2 linked regions of the Oreochromis niloticus genome follow. The protein of the gene in region 2 purifies or fractionates together with the protein of the main gene of each other region. This does not show direct contact. Links are inferred from orthologs where the notes say so. Each region holds a gene or a part of one and is shown on either strand. Other genes may lie near its edges.

Evidence for each region.
Region 1: the proteins of map4k5 (region 2) and crkl purify together in Homo sapiens (affinity purification with western blotting; 3 studies listed by BioGRID and IntAct, with this or other methods). This does not show direct contact. The link is inferred for Oreochromis niloticus from reciprocal best matches to the Homo sapiens genes MAP4K5 and CRKL.

Annotation. Positions count from the first base shown.
Region 1 is NC_031972.2:23,838,198-23,846,189, forward strand, and holds the start of crkl (crk-like protein), read right to left. Parts: upstream 3,016-7,992; 5' UTR 2,006-3,015; coding exon 1,695-2,005; intron 1,311-1,694; coding exon 839-1,310; intron 1-838. UniProt on the Homo sapiens protein: May mediate the transduction of intracellular signals.
Region 2 is NC_031983.2:21,098,989-21,106,524, forward strand, and holds the start of map4k5 (mitogen-activated protein kinase kinase kinase kinase 5), read left to right. Parts: upstream 1-4,324; 5' UTR 4,325-4,745; intron 4,746-5,069; 5' UTR 5,070-5,192; coding exon 5,193-5,300; intron 5,301-7,536. Other genes in the region: atl1 (atlastin-1), read right to left, coding at 653-787, 1,167-1,417, 2,962-3,001. UniProt on the Homo sapiens protein: May play a role in the response to environmental stress. Appears to act upstream of the JUN N-terminal pathway.

The sequences.
Region 1 (7,992 bases), on a different chromosome or scaffold from region 2:
GTGTCCAGAGCTAGTTGTGAACAGACATAGTCTCCTGGTGTAATAATAACTTTTTATATTCAAACAAACAGGAAGGGCCTGATAAGAGCAAGCAGCAAGATGCTAAAACCACAGTTTGGTTATTAGTCTTTTAGTGTGAGCACACATCAAGAGGCTAGAATGTCAAAAGGACTCAGAAAAGGCGAAGCTTATCTGTAGACACTTTCTCACATTGAACCCAGCAAAACTACTGTGGTAACTGAAGGCGGGACTGGTGTTTCCCCAGGTCATTCTACTACTTAATTTTGCAGTTTTAGTATAAAAAGAAGTGATAGTTTTACACAGAAGCCTCTCCAAGCTTTGGTCACACAACCTAATTTTTATAAGAGTTACCTCTTGAGATTGTTGTCTATGTTTAAGTAACCTGACAGCTCCTAGAGAGCTGTCAGGTTGTGAAAATGTAAAAACACAAGTTTTTTCAGTGTTTTAACTTGACTGAGGTGATAAACTAATTTGTGTAGAAAAGTCTAAGCTGCACACAGACATCTTTGATTTATTTGGGCGCAGATGGAAAAATAATTAAGAAATGACTGAAGATGGAATACTGCTGCTTTAGGCAAAGAAGCTTATAGCGTGTTGTACTCCAGGCCCTTACCTGGCATATTAATTTACTGCATGATGTTGCATTACAGATCAAAGGTCCAGCTAAACAGATTTATGAAAAGTTAACGATTTAATTACAATATCCATCCTTTATAAAAATGAGCAGTGCATTAAAACATGATGAAATTACACTGATCCCCTAGAAAAAAAACAAAAACAAAGAAATAAAACAGGTAAGATCAAATAAATACAATACCTCTAGAGCAAGAGCAGTCTTGTCGTAGGCACAGGGCACTCGTTTCTGGATGGCTTTCGCCATGACAGGGCCGTTCTGCATGGACGGTAGCGGAGCGATAACTGCTCCAGGTGCGTTGGGCATTGGAGAAGGCGTCTGGGGTTGGGCATAGGCATGAGCAAGAGCATTGGAGGGCTCAGGGATCCCATAGCTGTTGGAGTTTCGCGATCCATGAGAAGGTTGGCCAGGGTGGAGTGAAGGTCGTACCACTTTCTCTACGTAGGGCACAGGGATCATCCCAGCACGTCCATCTTTATTCTTGGCGCTCCACCACTGCTCCTCCGGTTTTTCCAGGATGATAAGGATCTCCCCCTTCTTGAAGGGAAGGTCCTCAGCATCGCTGCCGGTGAAGTCGTATAGAGTCCGCACATACTCCAGATTCTCCTCTGCTCCAACCATGGGCTGGACAGGAGGACTCGGTGTACTTGAATACCTTAGAAAATTAAAAATAATGACGAAATTAAGTAAATGTTAATTGGTTATCCTTAAAAGTCATCACTGTGAAGCCTAGAATACAACAAAACTGCATTATTTGTTGAATAAAATCCTTTATAAACATGATTACCTAACTCCTCAATTACCAAAATGTGGTATCAGGTTTGGCTATAAAACCACACAAATCCTGAGTGAGGTTTATTTTTCCAGTGGTACCAACACTTCAAAGAAAAAACAAAACCCCCAAACAAACAAACAAACAAGCAAACTAGATGTGTGGTAATAGTGCTGATTTTATGACATAACCAAGTGAAACTGGGTTAGTTCTGATAAAAATAGTATGGTAAAGTGCTAGAGGAGGCGTGGTGGGTGACCTCCCTACCTGGGGGCTGGCTCTATCAGCGTGGTCGTGTCCAAGTAATGGATTTTGTAGAACTCCAGGAGAGCTGGGAGGTGGTCGAACTCTTGATCCCCTATTTTGAACCTCTTGCTGGGCAAAGAGTTGATGATATAGTGAGACACTTTGGAGTTTTCCGACACCGACAGTACGTAGTCGCCGGGGCAGGTCGACGAGTCTCGAACAAGAAACATGCCATGTCTCTGTCCTTGTAACCTATTCTGTGCCTCCTGTCGTGACACGGGTCCAAAATACCAGGCGGACCGATCAGAGGAATCAAATCGAGCAGTTGACATTTCTGTTCAAAAATAAGTTAATGTGGGCTTACAAATTAATATTAATAATAATAGAAAGGAAAATACTACAGGATTGGCTAGGCAATAAGTTAAAAGCTGTATGCGTGGTTCCAATTGGCCAATCACAGCAAACTGTAGGATTTGGAAGACTCAGGGCAGGGCACTCGTCGCTCTGGAAGGAGTTTCCGAGTGATTTCTTCACAAAACGCCTCAGGCACCGAAAAAATCTGTTTAAGAAAAACAAAAACAACCTGGCGTTTTTGTTTTCTTTTTTTCCCCTCCTTTCAGATGCAGGCTGCCAGTGACTTGATCCAACTCTGGAGCATACTGTTGTCCCAGTCTGCGGCCGAGCAGTTGTTAAAAGGGGGCCAAAAAACAGAAGAAAAACGAGCAAACTTACGACAGGCTACCATTGACGGAGGGCCAGAGAAGCAAACGATCAATGAAGCTTCCCCTTTTCGTTCCGCCTTCCGAGAAAACACCAAATCTTCTCTTCTAATAAATGTATCTCCTCCAGTCAGTATCAGTTGTGAGAGCGGAAAATGTGGCCTCACTTTTCCCCCCTTCTTCTTCTTTTTTCTTACATCCGATAATCCCTCATCTGTGCACAAAGGTCCCCGGCAGGTCACGAAACTATCAGCCGAAATCCTGCGGAGCTCACGGCGAGACACACTTCATGGAAACGCGTTTTCGAATCCCCTTTCTCGAGTCGGAGCAGACTTTTGAGGCAACACAGCAGAAAAATGGCGGCTCGCAACACGTCTTCACACAAAAAAATGATTTCAGGGCAGCGGCTCGTCTCCTGCGCGTGCATCTCAGGAGCCACGACCGTTTACAGGAGCTGTCGCGTGCATCCCCGACCGCTCACGAGGGATCTCGGCTTAACGATTGCTATATTTTATACTTTCCCTTATTTCCGCTCGTCCCCACTAGCACAGGCTACCAGAAGTACTGAGGTCGAAAAATGGCGACGGGAGGGCAGGTCCCGCTTTCTATCAGCGCGTCACTGACGGCAGGAGCGAGAGAGAGGGGAGGGGGGGAGAAGTGAAGGAAGGAGGTGGGCGTTTGGCGAAGCCACGGACAGCCCCTAGCTCTGCGAGAGTAGGTGTCAGTCATTTCTCAGTGAACCATTCTGCTGATAGAAGTAGCTGTTCCATCGTCTCGGGAATATAGTGAATATAGCAATATGGAGCATGTCGAGATACAAGTGTATTTTTTACTCCGTGTTCCTGCTTTGACGTAGTAATTTAATTGGATGTTTGCTTTTCAAAACTTAAAAGGGATTCACCGTGTGACTCAAAAATATAATACCACAGTTTAAATCAGGTTAAAGAGTGGCTAAACCTCAAATAAATGCTAAACCAATAGAGAGGCTAAGCAGTCAGGTCTTAAGTAGGCAACATTGATGTTAAAAGCTGCTGTAACATACTATATGTGTATGAGAGCGAGGTGTTATTTCTGTTTATATCCCTGCACTGTCATTAGTTGATTCTTAATTGGAAATATGTGTAGGCAGTGTTTCACAGTCATAGCTGGTTCTGTTAAAGCTAGGCTAATTTAACTACTACTTTTACCCTACAACAGTGGAGCATATTTTGCGATCCATTGCAGCTTTGAAGTAGATACTGTGGAGTAGACAGTGCTAATATATGTACTTTTGACAGGTAGTTATGTAGGTGTGTGAAGAGGAGCATCAAAATTGAGCTTTTTTTTCTATAAATGGAAAACATTATTCTATAAAATGATTGACAGATAGAATAAGCTACAGTTCTGAATAAAAAAAGGTCAGATGTCTGCCGAACAACGTGTTCTTATGTTAGTACTGTGTTTAGTGATTGTCTCGGATGTTTTTGTGTTCTGTGCCTTTAAATCAGTGGTCAGCTCGTGTGTTTTTAATATACTTTTTTAGCCACATAACCGCAGCCCATAGGTACAGTATATTTGCTCAGTCAACAACTAATTCATACCACCAGTAAAAAATTGTACTTATTTCCCTATTTTCATTTCCTTGTGTTATTTAACTTCCCCTTCATTCATTCTCATAATAAGTATTATCTGGCAAAGAACTGTGAAAAATCGATTTGGAGCTCACCCAGAATGACCCAACCCAAAACAGAATATGCTGCGAGAGAGAGAGAGACGGAGAGAAAGAGAGAGAGCGCATTTAAATGCAAGGGGCAGTGTCTCTGAAGAAGAAGAATGCAATCTAAGCGAAAGAATGCATCTGAGAACACAAGCAGAGTGCGGCAAGCCATTCAGCCAAGCAGAACAAGTTTTACTCAGTGATAAAAGCAGGATCTGTAAAGAAGTAGCTCTGTCCCTGTGGTGACTGAGCTTTCAGTGGCCGTGCCTCATGAGGCTACAGCTGGCACAGAACAGCTCTCATCACTGAAACACTGTCTGAATGTTAATAGATTTGCACCCACCGAGACTTAATGGCTAAAGCCTGCCAACTCCCACATTTCCACAAAGATGCAGTGATGCAACTAATTGGAAAGAGAAACAAAAAACAGACTAGTTTACTTAGAATTATGGGTAAAAAGGCTGATATTATATGCACGAACCATACTGGCTTCTAACTAGGGCAACTTTTCATTTAAGAGATTGGCTTTGTGGGATTTTGCAGGGTGAGACATACAGTATCGTTGTCTGACCTGCTGTCTAACCTTGTATGTAGATGCACACTGAAGGTTTCTTCACAAACATCACCATCTAGTGGATGTATGCAAAAGGCAATGCCTGCCATCATCCCATTATCAATAGATTCTGTTGTCTGTCTGTATGGCAGGTTAAGATTAAGCGATACTACAGGTCCAAACGTAATGAAACGTGAATTTTTGACCACCTAAGCAGCAGTTCTACAGTCCTTCAAGTGCTCTCTTAAGTACCAGCTGCTACAAAAACCCACCATACCAAAATGGATAACTTCAGGCCAGCACACACGCAGAAAAGCCTAGAAAAGCTGGTTCTTCAACCCAAAAACCCACCTGTAACTGGTTTTGCAATAGCTTAGAAAACTTTTAGCCTCTGTTAAACTCACATCAACACAGTAACCTTGAATGGATGCTCCCTTTAGCTCAGTCTTGATGCCCTGGAGTCTGAAGATTAAATGCACAGATGACACAACCACCCTTGACCTAATCGGTGGTCGATGAGTTGTTGCACAAGGAACTAGTGAACAAAACCTGTGATCTTGTTCTTTGCACAGGCGCAACAAAAGAAAAGTAATTATGGCTGGAGAGGCCCCCTCTCCACCCAGCTCATTTTTCGGCTGCAGAAGACGCAACCTAAGACACTGCAGAGAGCATCGGCACAGTTTTATTTCAGCCAGTCAGATTGTGTGTAAAGGCCGTTAGTCTGCAAATAAATTCCCCTTCCCCCACTTAAGACTTAACACTTAAGACTTCATAAGAAACTTACACATTTTACAAACCATCTTCTGCTTGTAACCACTTCAACCCCTCACTACCCTTCTGTGCCTTTATCTCTTTCACACAGCGTCTTTCTCCAGCTCTTTTCTTTGTGCATTAAACTTATATTTATTATTTTCATGGTGATGTATCCTGTGAGACAGTGACAGGAATTCCAGTGTAGTGATGCAAACTGCAGTTAATTATAATCTAAATCACGTTTTGAAGAGGATGTTCACATGGTGCAGGATAAGACCTGTGTTGGAAAGGTCAGTTTCTCTGAGACTGTAAATTTTGCTTAAAAAAAGCTTTTTATTTTATTTTAACTTCGAATAAATCATAGATACTAAAGCTGTTGAGCAGAGTTGCAACCTTGCTCTCATGTGCCAGAACACAAACACACAGATTACCTTGACAAATCCTGCCCAGGGTCACACAGACAGGCATTCAGGAACAAGATCATGTTAAGTTTTTACCATATATGATAAAATACCTGTATTCTCTATCCATGCAGTTTCTGGCAGTGGGCGAACCCCCTCCCAGCCTTCACTTTTGAAATACTTAGCCTCTACTATATTTTATTTTAACATCCTACCACGTTCCTGATTGTTGTCACTGGCATTCAGTTCAAAGTTGAGCATGCTTTGATGTGAAGACTAACGACAGACAAGCAGCAGACTGGTAAATATGGCACGAGATGCTGCTGTTAAAGAGTCAGTGCATTTTTAGACCAGTGTAAGGGTTTATATAGATGAGCGACTCACTGTTACAGCCTCCATGGCATGAGTCACCTTTTACCTCTCAGCCTGGTTTCCCAGAATATGCAGTCAGGTTTCTGTAAAGGTAAACCTGTTTACATGCTACTAAATGGACACAAATAGGTAGATATCCATAGATATTCTACATTTCTAGAAATACTTCTAGATTTCTACAGGTACACCAGGTTCACAATAAAGGCTTCAGATAAAGCATTTTCACCCGCTTCATTACTTCCTCATGTTTCAGTTTGTTGTTGCTTTGGTTCAAATGTTTTTAAATGAGCCACTTCCCCATAGCATTTCTAAAACTTTAAGAAGCCACAATTATCTCTTGTTTCTTACAATATCACATTGCATTACCTGTGACAACTTCATGCTCATAGTCTTACCTTAACTTTCTAAACTTTTTTGTTCTCACTAATTATTTTTTCATTCAGTTAGTGAAGAGTTAATACGAGACCACAGCCTAATCTAGTGCAACTGACGACGTTGCTGTAGCCAGGCCTGTCAAGTGGTCAATTCTGCTTTTGGTTATTTTAACTTCCTCGTTTTCAGTGAAGCGTTCATATGACAAGCAGGTTCAATAAAAAGACACGCCACGGCTTGTTTATTTTATTCTGTTCAACTTTATGCAGTGTTTATACTGTAAATACATGTCCAATATAGATGTTATGGATGAATCAGCAACTAAAGGAGCTGGTGAGGGTTCTTCTAAAGAGAAGGAATAAAGGGAAATGTAGCCTGTGAAGCAGAAAATGACTCATAAACCATGTAAACAGGACCGCGGTTGGGCTTAATTAAACACAAGTAATGCTCCACATAAACAAATAAATCAAAGCTTTAAATACATTTCTTAATATATCTAATTATCGCACACTTTGGCACACTTTGGCAAATCTGTAGCGATCAAAACCTAAGTGACATTTCACTTCTCTTAAACTGACAAACCCAGTGTTTGCAGTGGTGTACGACCTGAGAAACCAGTGCTAACATAACAATAGTACATTTATATAAGGTAGGATCACCTGTTGCCTATTTTGTGTCATAATATCTGAAATACAACACTCAGCATGCAAATAACTCTCCACACGATTAGCCCACTAAAAGGAACAGTATCCCGAAGAGTCAGGCGCAAAGGGAAAAATATAAAGGAACAGCATTGTTTTGTGCAGAGGACATTTATGCCCTTTCATCCTTATGCTTGAACACAAAGTGTAAATGCTTAAATACTAATGCTGGACCAGTGAAAATCATTACACTGCTCCTTAGCACACTGAATGACAAAAAAAAAGTGGTTTTATGAAAAAAAGTGTGCTTTTATGCTTGCTTTTTTGTGAAGTGAAAACAAGCCACAAATGTCCTGAAACTCAGTGGTTGAAAAAACAAGCAGAATACATGAATTATTCCCAGTGAAAAGTTGAAATCAGTCCTTCTGCTGTGTGCAAAACTAAAAGATCCAGGCCTTATAGAGCATTATTTGTGTTTTCTGTCCATATTACACATCATTATGAGCAGTAATTGTCAATAAACGTGATGCGTCTGTATTGTTTTGTTTTTTTCCTGAACAGCAGACATTTTGACATGCCGTGACAGGAAGCACACAGGTGTGTTAATGATGGTTGCATTCCACTTAAGGGAGGTGCTGCCGTATAGCATGCTGCTTCACACTGGCAAGGCTTACTTGGGAGAGGTAGTCATCATTGATTAAGTGTTTTGCGATTCCCGCTGCGACCACTCTATCCTGCTCAACTTTATGACATCATAAAACATCATCATCAGAAATGCTTTATTTCATTACATACCACGGAAATATGCTCTG
Region 2 (7,536 bases):
CTAATGACATGGCCTCCTTGTTCACCTGATCTGAACCCCATTGAGAACCTGTGGTCCATCATCAAATGTGAGATTTACAAGGAGGGAAAACAGTACACCTCTCTGAACAGTGTCTGGGAGGCTGTGGTTGCTGCTGCACGCAATGTTGATGGTGAACAGATCAAAACACTGACAGGATCCATGGATGGCAGGCTTTTGAGTGTCCTTGCAAAGAAAGGTGGCTATATTGGTCGCTGATTTGTTTTTGTTTTGTTTTTGAATGTCAGAAATGTGAATGTGGAGATGTTATATTGGTTTCACTGGTAAAAATAAATAATTGAAATGGGTATATATTTGTTTTTTGTTAAGTTGCCTAATAATTATGCACAGTAATACTCACCTGCACACACAGATATCCCCCTAAAATAGCTAAAACTAAAAACAAACTAAAAACTACTTCCAAAAACATTCAGCTTTGATATTAATGAGTTTTTTGGGTTCATTGAGAACATAGTTGTTGTTCAATAATAAAATTATTCCTCAAAAATACAACTTGCCTAATAATTCTGCACTCCCTGTAAATAGGTTAAACAAGTATATGTGTTATATTTAATTAAGCACTCAATTGCACTTTAGCCTACTCGTCCAGTCGTGGGATGAAATATAGTCTCACCTTTCTTCCGTCTGGTTTGTCCACCAGAAAGACCTCGCTCCAAATCTGGATCCCGGTGGTCTCCCTCTCTGAGCCGCCCCTCCAGGAGAAGCCGGTCAGAGGTTCTTCTGGATTGCCGAGCCAGTTTTCAGACGCCTGAGCACCGACGGATCACAGTTTAGTCTAACAGGTCAATTTACCCTCTATGACTTTGAAATATTGCATTTTTTTTATTTGATCTGCTGCTTGAAAAAAAAGATGGCATAAATATGATAAAGGAAGATAAAGAAATGCATAGCCATTTTAATCCAAGATTACTGTACATAAGCAGGTTGGTGCATGCATGTAGTAATATAATATCATAAATATTCTTCTTTTTTGCCAGTACCTTTGCTATATTTCAATTTTTTATGTGCTACACCAAATCACAAGCTAAATCTGGAACTTTTCCACTAGCACGGCTGAGCCGATTCACGCACACAGACTGTATGATCTATACCACGCAGACTGGAGTAATGCTTTTGCAGAGACTTACATGGTTGTACATGTAACGCAGCATAAAGTCCATGAGGAAAGACTTGCCCTTCCGGAAAGCTCCGGCCACGGAGATGGCCACCACCTCACGATCTCTGACCTCCTCAGACAGCAGGATGCGGCTCAGCGCCGCCTCATCCAGCTCAAAGGTGTGGTCATCTTTGACCAGCAGCACTTGGATAGGCCGAGCTCTTCCGTCTGGCTCCTCCTCCTCCGAGCTCCAATCATAGACATTTTTATCACTGAGGGACCCTGGAAGAGAAGACAGTCGTGGGAAATCATAAAACCTAAAGCAAGAAAACGGCATTAACATTACAGTCAAACACAGAGATGAAGGCAAAATGTTTTATTTAAAGAATTTATTGTGTCAATGAAACACCAACTAAAATGTTGACTGAACAGCGAGAACTTCTTCACAGGGATGATAAGCGCACTTAGCAGTCCATTAAGTGAGGAAACAGGAAAGTTGAGTCCATTACTCCTTCCTGCTTCAGCTCCAGATCAATAGCATGGCCTGCAAGCTTGTTAATAATATTCATAATGAATCAGGCCACGCTCTTTTTATCCGATGAGATCATGTGCATTCTGAGGTTTTTTTCCATACTTTTCCATGCAATGACTCAGTGTCTTTCCAGTCTCTGCTGTCTCATGTAGAGTGTAAGGGCTGAATGGGCTTCCTGCAATGATTGGAGGCTTTCCGAGCTCCCAAATTCCCCACATTGTAATGTTTGTTTACTGAAGACGAAAGAAAGTCCAAACACACACCACTAATTCCAGTCACTGCAGCTGTGGTGTTAATTTTGAGCTTTTAATGCAAATCAAAGCATGGATACAACTCTTTAAAAAGCAGCAGTGACAGATTAAGGAGTAGCAGACAAAATTTTAAGGATGTGCTAAATGATTAATAAAGGGTGCCAAGAATGCACAGTGAATAATTCAGCAGGGAATCATCCAAGGTTTCGTCTCAGGCTTGAAGGGGACTATCAGGGTGGCTTCACATCTCTTGCAATGGCCGCTTCAGCCAGGCCTGGCATCATGAGCCTGCCTGGTTAACCTGATCGTGTTCCTCTGCTGCTGCTGCTGCTGCCCTTAAAACAGCCGAAGACGTCAGAAGCGGTCTGCTTAAAGTGGGTCAGCCCAGATAAACTCTCTGATGACAAACAGCAGCATTTCACCCTTTTCCCCCTCACTCCCAATGCAGTCATTCAGCCCCTTCCTTTCCCTTGCAGACCTGAATTTAAAGTTAACACAGAGCATAGCGTGATGTCAGTGACAATCACCAACAGTGATGATGACATTAACGGTCAGGGTGCAGATGGTGGTCCTGAGGATGATGAGAGGCTATCTTCTGATGCAATATTACATAATTGTATGCCAGATGCACCACGTACAATCACGAGAAGCTCACTGTGATAAACAAAATACATCAGGAGGTGGTTTTCAGGCCTCTTAGGGAGGTTCAGAGAGCACTAACAGACATTTCCCTGCGCGCTGATCACTGAATAAAAATATAACACGTCTTAGAAATATAGGTCTGTGCTTGCTTATGCCTGATTAGACAATATTCCTGCAGAGACTCACAAAAACACGTATTTTTCACCATAAATGGCGTGATGCATTGCTGCATTAAAATAAATAAACACTGGTCATGATACGGTCAAAACGAAACCAAGCCTTTCATCATGGAGTCTAAGATAAACATCTTACTGACTTACACCCTCTCCTCCGCGGCAGGGAAGATAAAAAACGGTTTGTGCCGTCAAGAAAAGCAATGAAATATGAAATACTGTACGTACACTCACCCCAGCTGTCTCTTTCTGGACGGTGTTTCGCCATAATACTGTCGTTATATCCCTTTGATTGTGGGTTACTGAGCGACCCTAGTCGGTAATCATGAGTGTATATCGTGGGCTGGGAGAATGCCCTGGCTCCACCAAAACGATGCTCGTATCGCAGGAGGATGATGGAGCTTTTATCCTCAATGTGATGCAGCCATGCTGTATCTCGCTAGGGGGCGCAGTTCTAAAGCAGCGGCTTGAGGCATGGGACGACAGCTGAATGCAGTTCGGCTCATATTGCAATGTCTACAGAAAAGAATGATTAGCGGTTATGTGCTTGAAAGTGCGACCAGAAACGCATTTCTTTGTCGCTGCCTTCACGTGAAATTTTAGCTTCTACCGGCAGGTGGCGGTAATTACACAGAGGTTGGAAGGTATGCCCCCTTCAGGTGCGCCTTTGTAAAAATGTAAATTCCAAATGGGTAGAGTAGTAGTCAGTATGTTGTTAAATACTACATTCAATAAATAAATAAATACAAATTCCCCTCTTTATTGAACCGTTATTATACGTTGAACTGAACTGTAACTTTATGGAGAGATGGAGAGATTTACATGGAGAGATGCCAAACTGCCTTTCACTGTTCTTATAACAGTGACAATAAAAAGCTATTCTATTCTATTCTATTCTTATGAATAGAAAACATCAACTCAATTTAATATGTTTATTTTTTTCATTAAAACAATTACCCATATTATATTCTAACACATGGATAAATATTATTGTTTTAAAATAAACCACTTTCATGTTGGGTAATAAAGGAAATTACAGATATCTGGTTTTAGACCTATTGGTATCAGATAATTCTTTCACTTAAACTTTATTTTAAATTAGAATAACTTAAAATATTACTATTACCGTACATCAAAAAAATTCAGACCTTTTTCCACCAACCTTTTGAAAAATAAAGATTTTCTCTTATTTAGAATATATTTATTATTCCTTATTGTATTTTGTGGCATGAAATTATGCTTGTAAAGCATTTTCAAATACAGTAATACCTGCAAATGATAACTTTAAGGGGTCATAATTACATCTCAACAGAAATTTTATTCATCCAACTTTTTTGAAAAGATATGCTGAGATACTAAACCATAACGACATCAAAAACGAGCCCATAAATCAAAATTTGGTTTGAATAGATAATAAAGAAAAGGTACTATTTTAAAAATGAGACGTCTGGATACATTTCATGTGCTTTTAATGCCCTTTACATTTTTATTTCTTTATTTCAAATCGAATATTTTTGTTATGTTATTAATGATGTAATAATTAGTCTATATACGTGATTGTGGTTAGATTATTTTCCGTGATGCACTCGAATGCAACAGCGTCCAATAACTGCGACTCCACAAAGATTAGTAACACACTGTTGCTTTTAAGGGAGCGTGTTATTTCAGTAAATCCAACAGTTTATTGTTTATGTAGTTTAACGTTAGTATTCTACCCATGAGCCCGAGGCTAATCTAAAACTGTCAGCCGAGGGAAATGACATGGCAACGGCAAAACTTAACGCTGGCTTGCGGGGATTTGAAGTCGACCCTGTCGCTTTTTCTCTGAAGGAGTGAACAGCAGCAGCAGCAGGACCAGCAAGCGAGTGAAGTTTACTACTGTTCCCTCGATAACAAAAGAGGGGGACCGCCTTTGTTTTTTTTGGATAACTATTCGACGCCATCGCACAGTTAAAAGCCTGAAAACGATTCGGAGTTCAAGACATGCTCCCGCCGTGTTTGTGTTGTTGAAGGTATACACTGTTGAAGTTAGAGCCAGCCGAGAAGCTAACTTTAGCCAGTTAGCTAGCGTTAGCTGACCCGCCCGGATGCTAAGCCTCTCACTGGCTCTGGCTAATTGCTGGAATGACCACAACCTGCATGTTAATACCGTTATAATGGTCACTGATTTTAATTGCCTTTCTCTTTATTACTTTTGAGGAGTAGTTGGCGGTGAATTAATTAGTGATTGCGTGACAGATGTCAAAGCTAAGCTCGTCCAGGGTTATTACTAGAGATTAATACTCGCTGTTTTTCTTTTGTGCACTTTCCCCCCCCCACAACTTTCCACCTTTCAGGACATGGACAACAGGGACGGGCAGTCTGAGTAACACTGACTCAAAACCATTGTTGCATCAGATCATCGACACCACCGTTGGCCAGTCCAAATAAATGTAAAGGCATCTCTGGGTCAAGGTACCATGGATATCTTTACCCGGCCAAGCAATGAAATCCAGAGGAGGAACCCTCAGCATGACTTTGAGCTCATTCAGAGGGTGGGAAGTGGCACATATGGAGACGTGTATAAGGTACAGTGATGTTCCCACAGTCTGTCATTAGAGCTGGAGATAACATAAGCCACCACATCATGACGAATCAGGCTGTCGCTCTAATTTAAGCCAGAGTGGTGTTTGCTTTGTAAGCCATGATAACATGTGGCAAACACATTGACAGGAGCTTTTGAGTGAGAGCCAGGTTGTGCATCCATTCATGCGCCAAACATTGCATATGGTGGCGCTTACTGTTTTTTACTTTATCTTATTTTATTGGTTGGATCAGTTTGTTATCTATATTTTCCTGCTTGTCGAGGCAGTGTTGCTGAACCAGTTTGACTGTTGTGCTCAGGTCGTTGCTTGTACCTTCTTGTTAGTTTGCTCTACCACTTTTGGTGGAGACAATGCAACATACATCAGAAATACATTCACCACTTACTTCAATAGGTACACCTGTTTAGCTGCTTGCTAACTGTGTATGCAAGCAGAGTCACATGGGAGTAACTCAACGGATAGGCATGTGGACATGGTCATGATCCCCTGCTGAAGTTCAAACTGAGCATCAGAATGAGGAAGAAAGAAAGGTGATTTAAGTGACTTTGAATGTGGTTGTTGGCGTCAGATGGATAGTCTGAATATTTCGGAAACTCTTTATCTACTGGGATTTTCCACCACACCATCATTGGTAGGCTTTACAGATAATATCTGAAAAAGACAAAATGTCCAGTGAGGAGCAGGGGAAAAAGCCTCGTTGATCCCAGAGGTCAGAAGAGAATGGCCAAAATGCTTTAGGCTAATAGAAAGGCAACAGTAACTCAAATAACCACTCGTTCTGCGTACCTCGTTATACAGAAGTATGCAGGAGAGCATCTCTGAATGCATAACATGTCTAACCTTGAACCAGATGAGCTACACCAGCTTATGTTGTAAATTGCCCTTGCTTACTGTACAGTCTCTTATTTCTCATTTTTTATTTGCATTCTCCATCTGCCTGTCACTTTGCTGCTGGAACACTAGAATTTCCCCCAATCAGGGTCAATAAAGGATCTTTCTATTCTATTCTATTATTCTTTGAAATGCGGTGGAACAGGAGATTCACATCATGTATGTGCATGCGACAAATGTTCAGCAACTCTGTGATACTATCTGTTAATATGGGCCAAAGGAATGTTTTGATCACCTTGTTGAATCTGTGCTGTGAAGATTTAAAGCAGTTCTGAAAGCGAAAGTGGCTCCAGGACAGTACAAGGGCGTACCTAATAAAGTGGTCAGTTAGAGTACATTGTGTGATGCATAAGAGTTTAGCTGTCAACTTTGTGTTTAGTTTTTGGACATGCACATGATATGGGAGGACTGTCAGCAATAACATATTATTATTTGGTTCCTTTTTTCACTTGCATTTGTGCTATATTTATTTTGCAGCTTTTTATGAGACAGTCTAGTTTCGTAAGTTTTTCTTTTTGGGGTTTTTCCCTTTTTTGTGGAAAAACTGGGCAAATATGTCTTGAGTCTACAAGTCTTATTGCAATTAAAACCAGAGGTCCAAAGTAAAAAACAGTAGAGAGAGTAATTGACTGTTCGGGTGATTTGTTACCATGTTCTTCTTGAAAAATGGCAAAGGTTCACTTGTTCCAGCTGCACATTTATGAGTGTTTGCTCCTTTTCTTTGTCAGATTGTTGTGAACCTCAAACATCTGGAGAATCCCCATAGAAAATCGAATGATTATATCAGTGCGTTGATGTATTTCTTTCAAGCCAATGCTGTTTTGCGTATCTGTTATTAATTTGCTGGGTATAGCCGACTAACTGCCAGATGTTTCCCACTGTTTGTCTGGCTGCAGCGAGGTGCGTTTTGCTGGAGAATTTTCTTTTTTATCCATCTGTCGCACACAAACAGACGAACCATCTGATGTAGACGTGATGGTTCAGCCGGGCTCACATGGCCTCCTTCCATACAAAGCCTTGCTGGCCAGCGAGCCAGCCCACCCCCCACCCCAGACAGGCCACCGGTGGTATGCTGCGCCTGGTATTCTCCCGGAGCTCACAGGCTCAGAGCTGCAGTGAGCTGAAATACGATCAGGCCCCTGTCTAAACATGCGTTTCACTATGGGTGTGTTCTGCTCTGCGTTGACAGAGAAAGCGCCTTTAGATTGGGAAAAGTCCTCAGCATGGCATTCCTCATGTTTGAATGTTTACTACATGTGATTATATTGGTTTAAGAATTTCATGGCATCTCTGTGGAGGTTATTTTAGTTTTCTTTAGTTGTAGAGT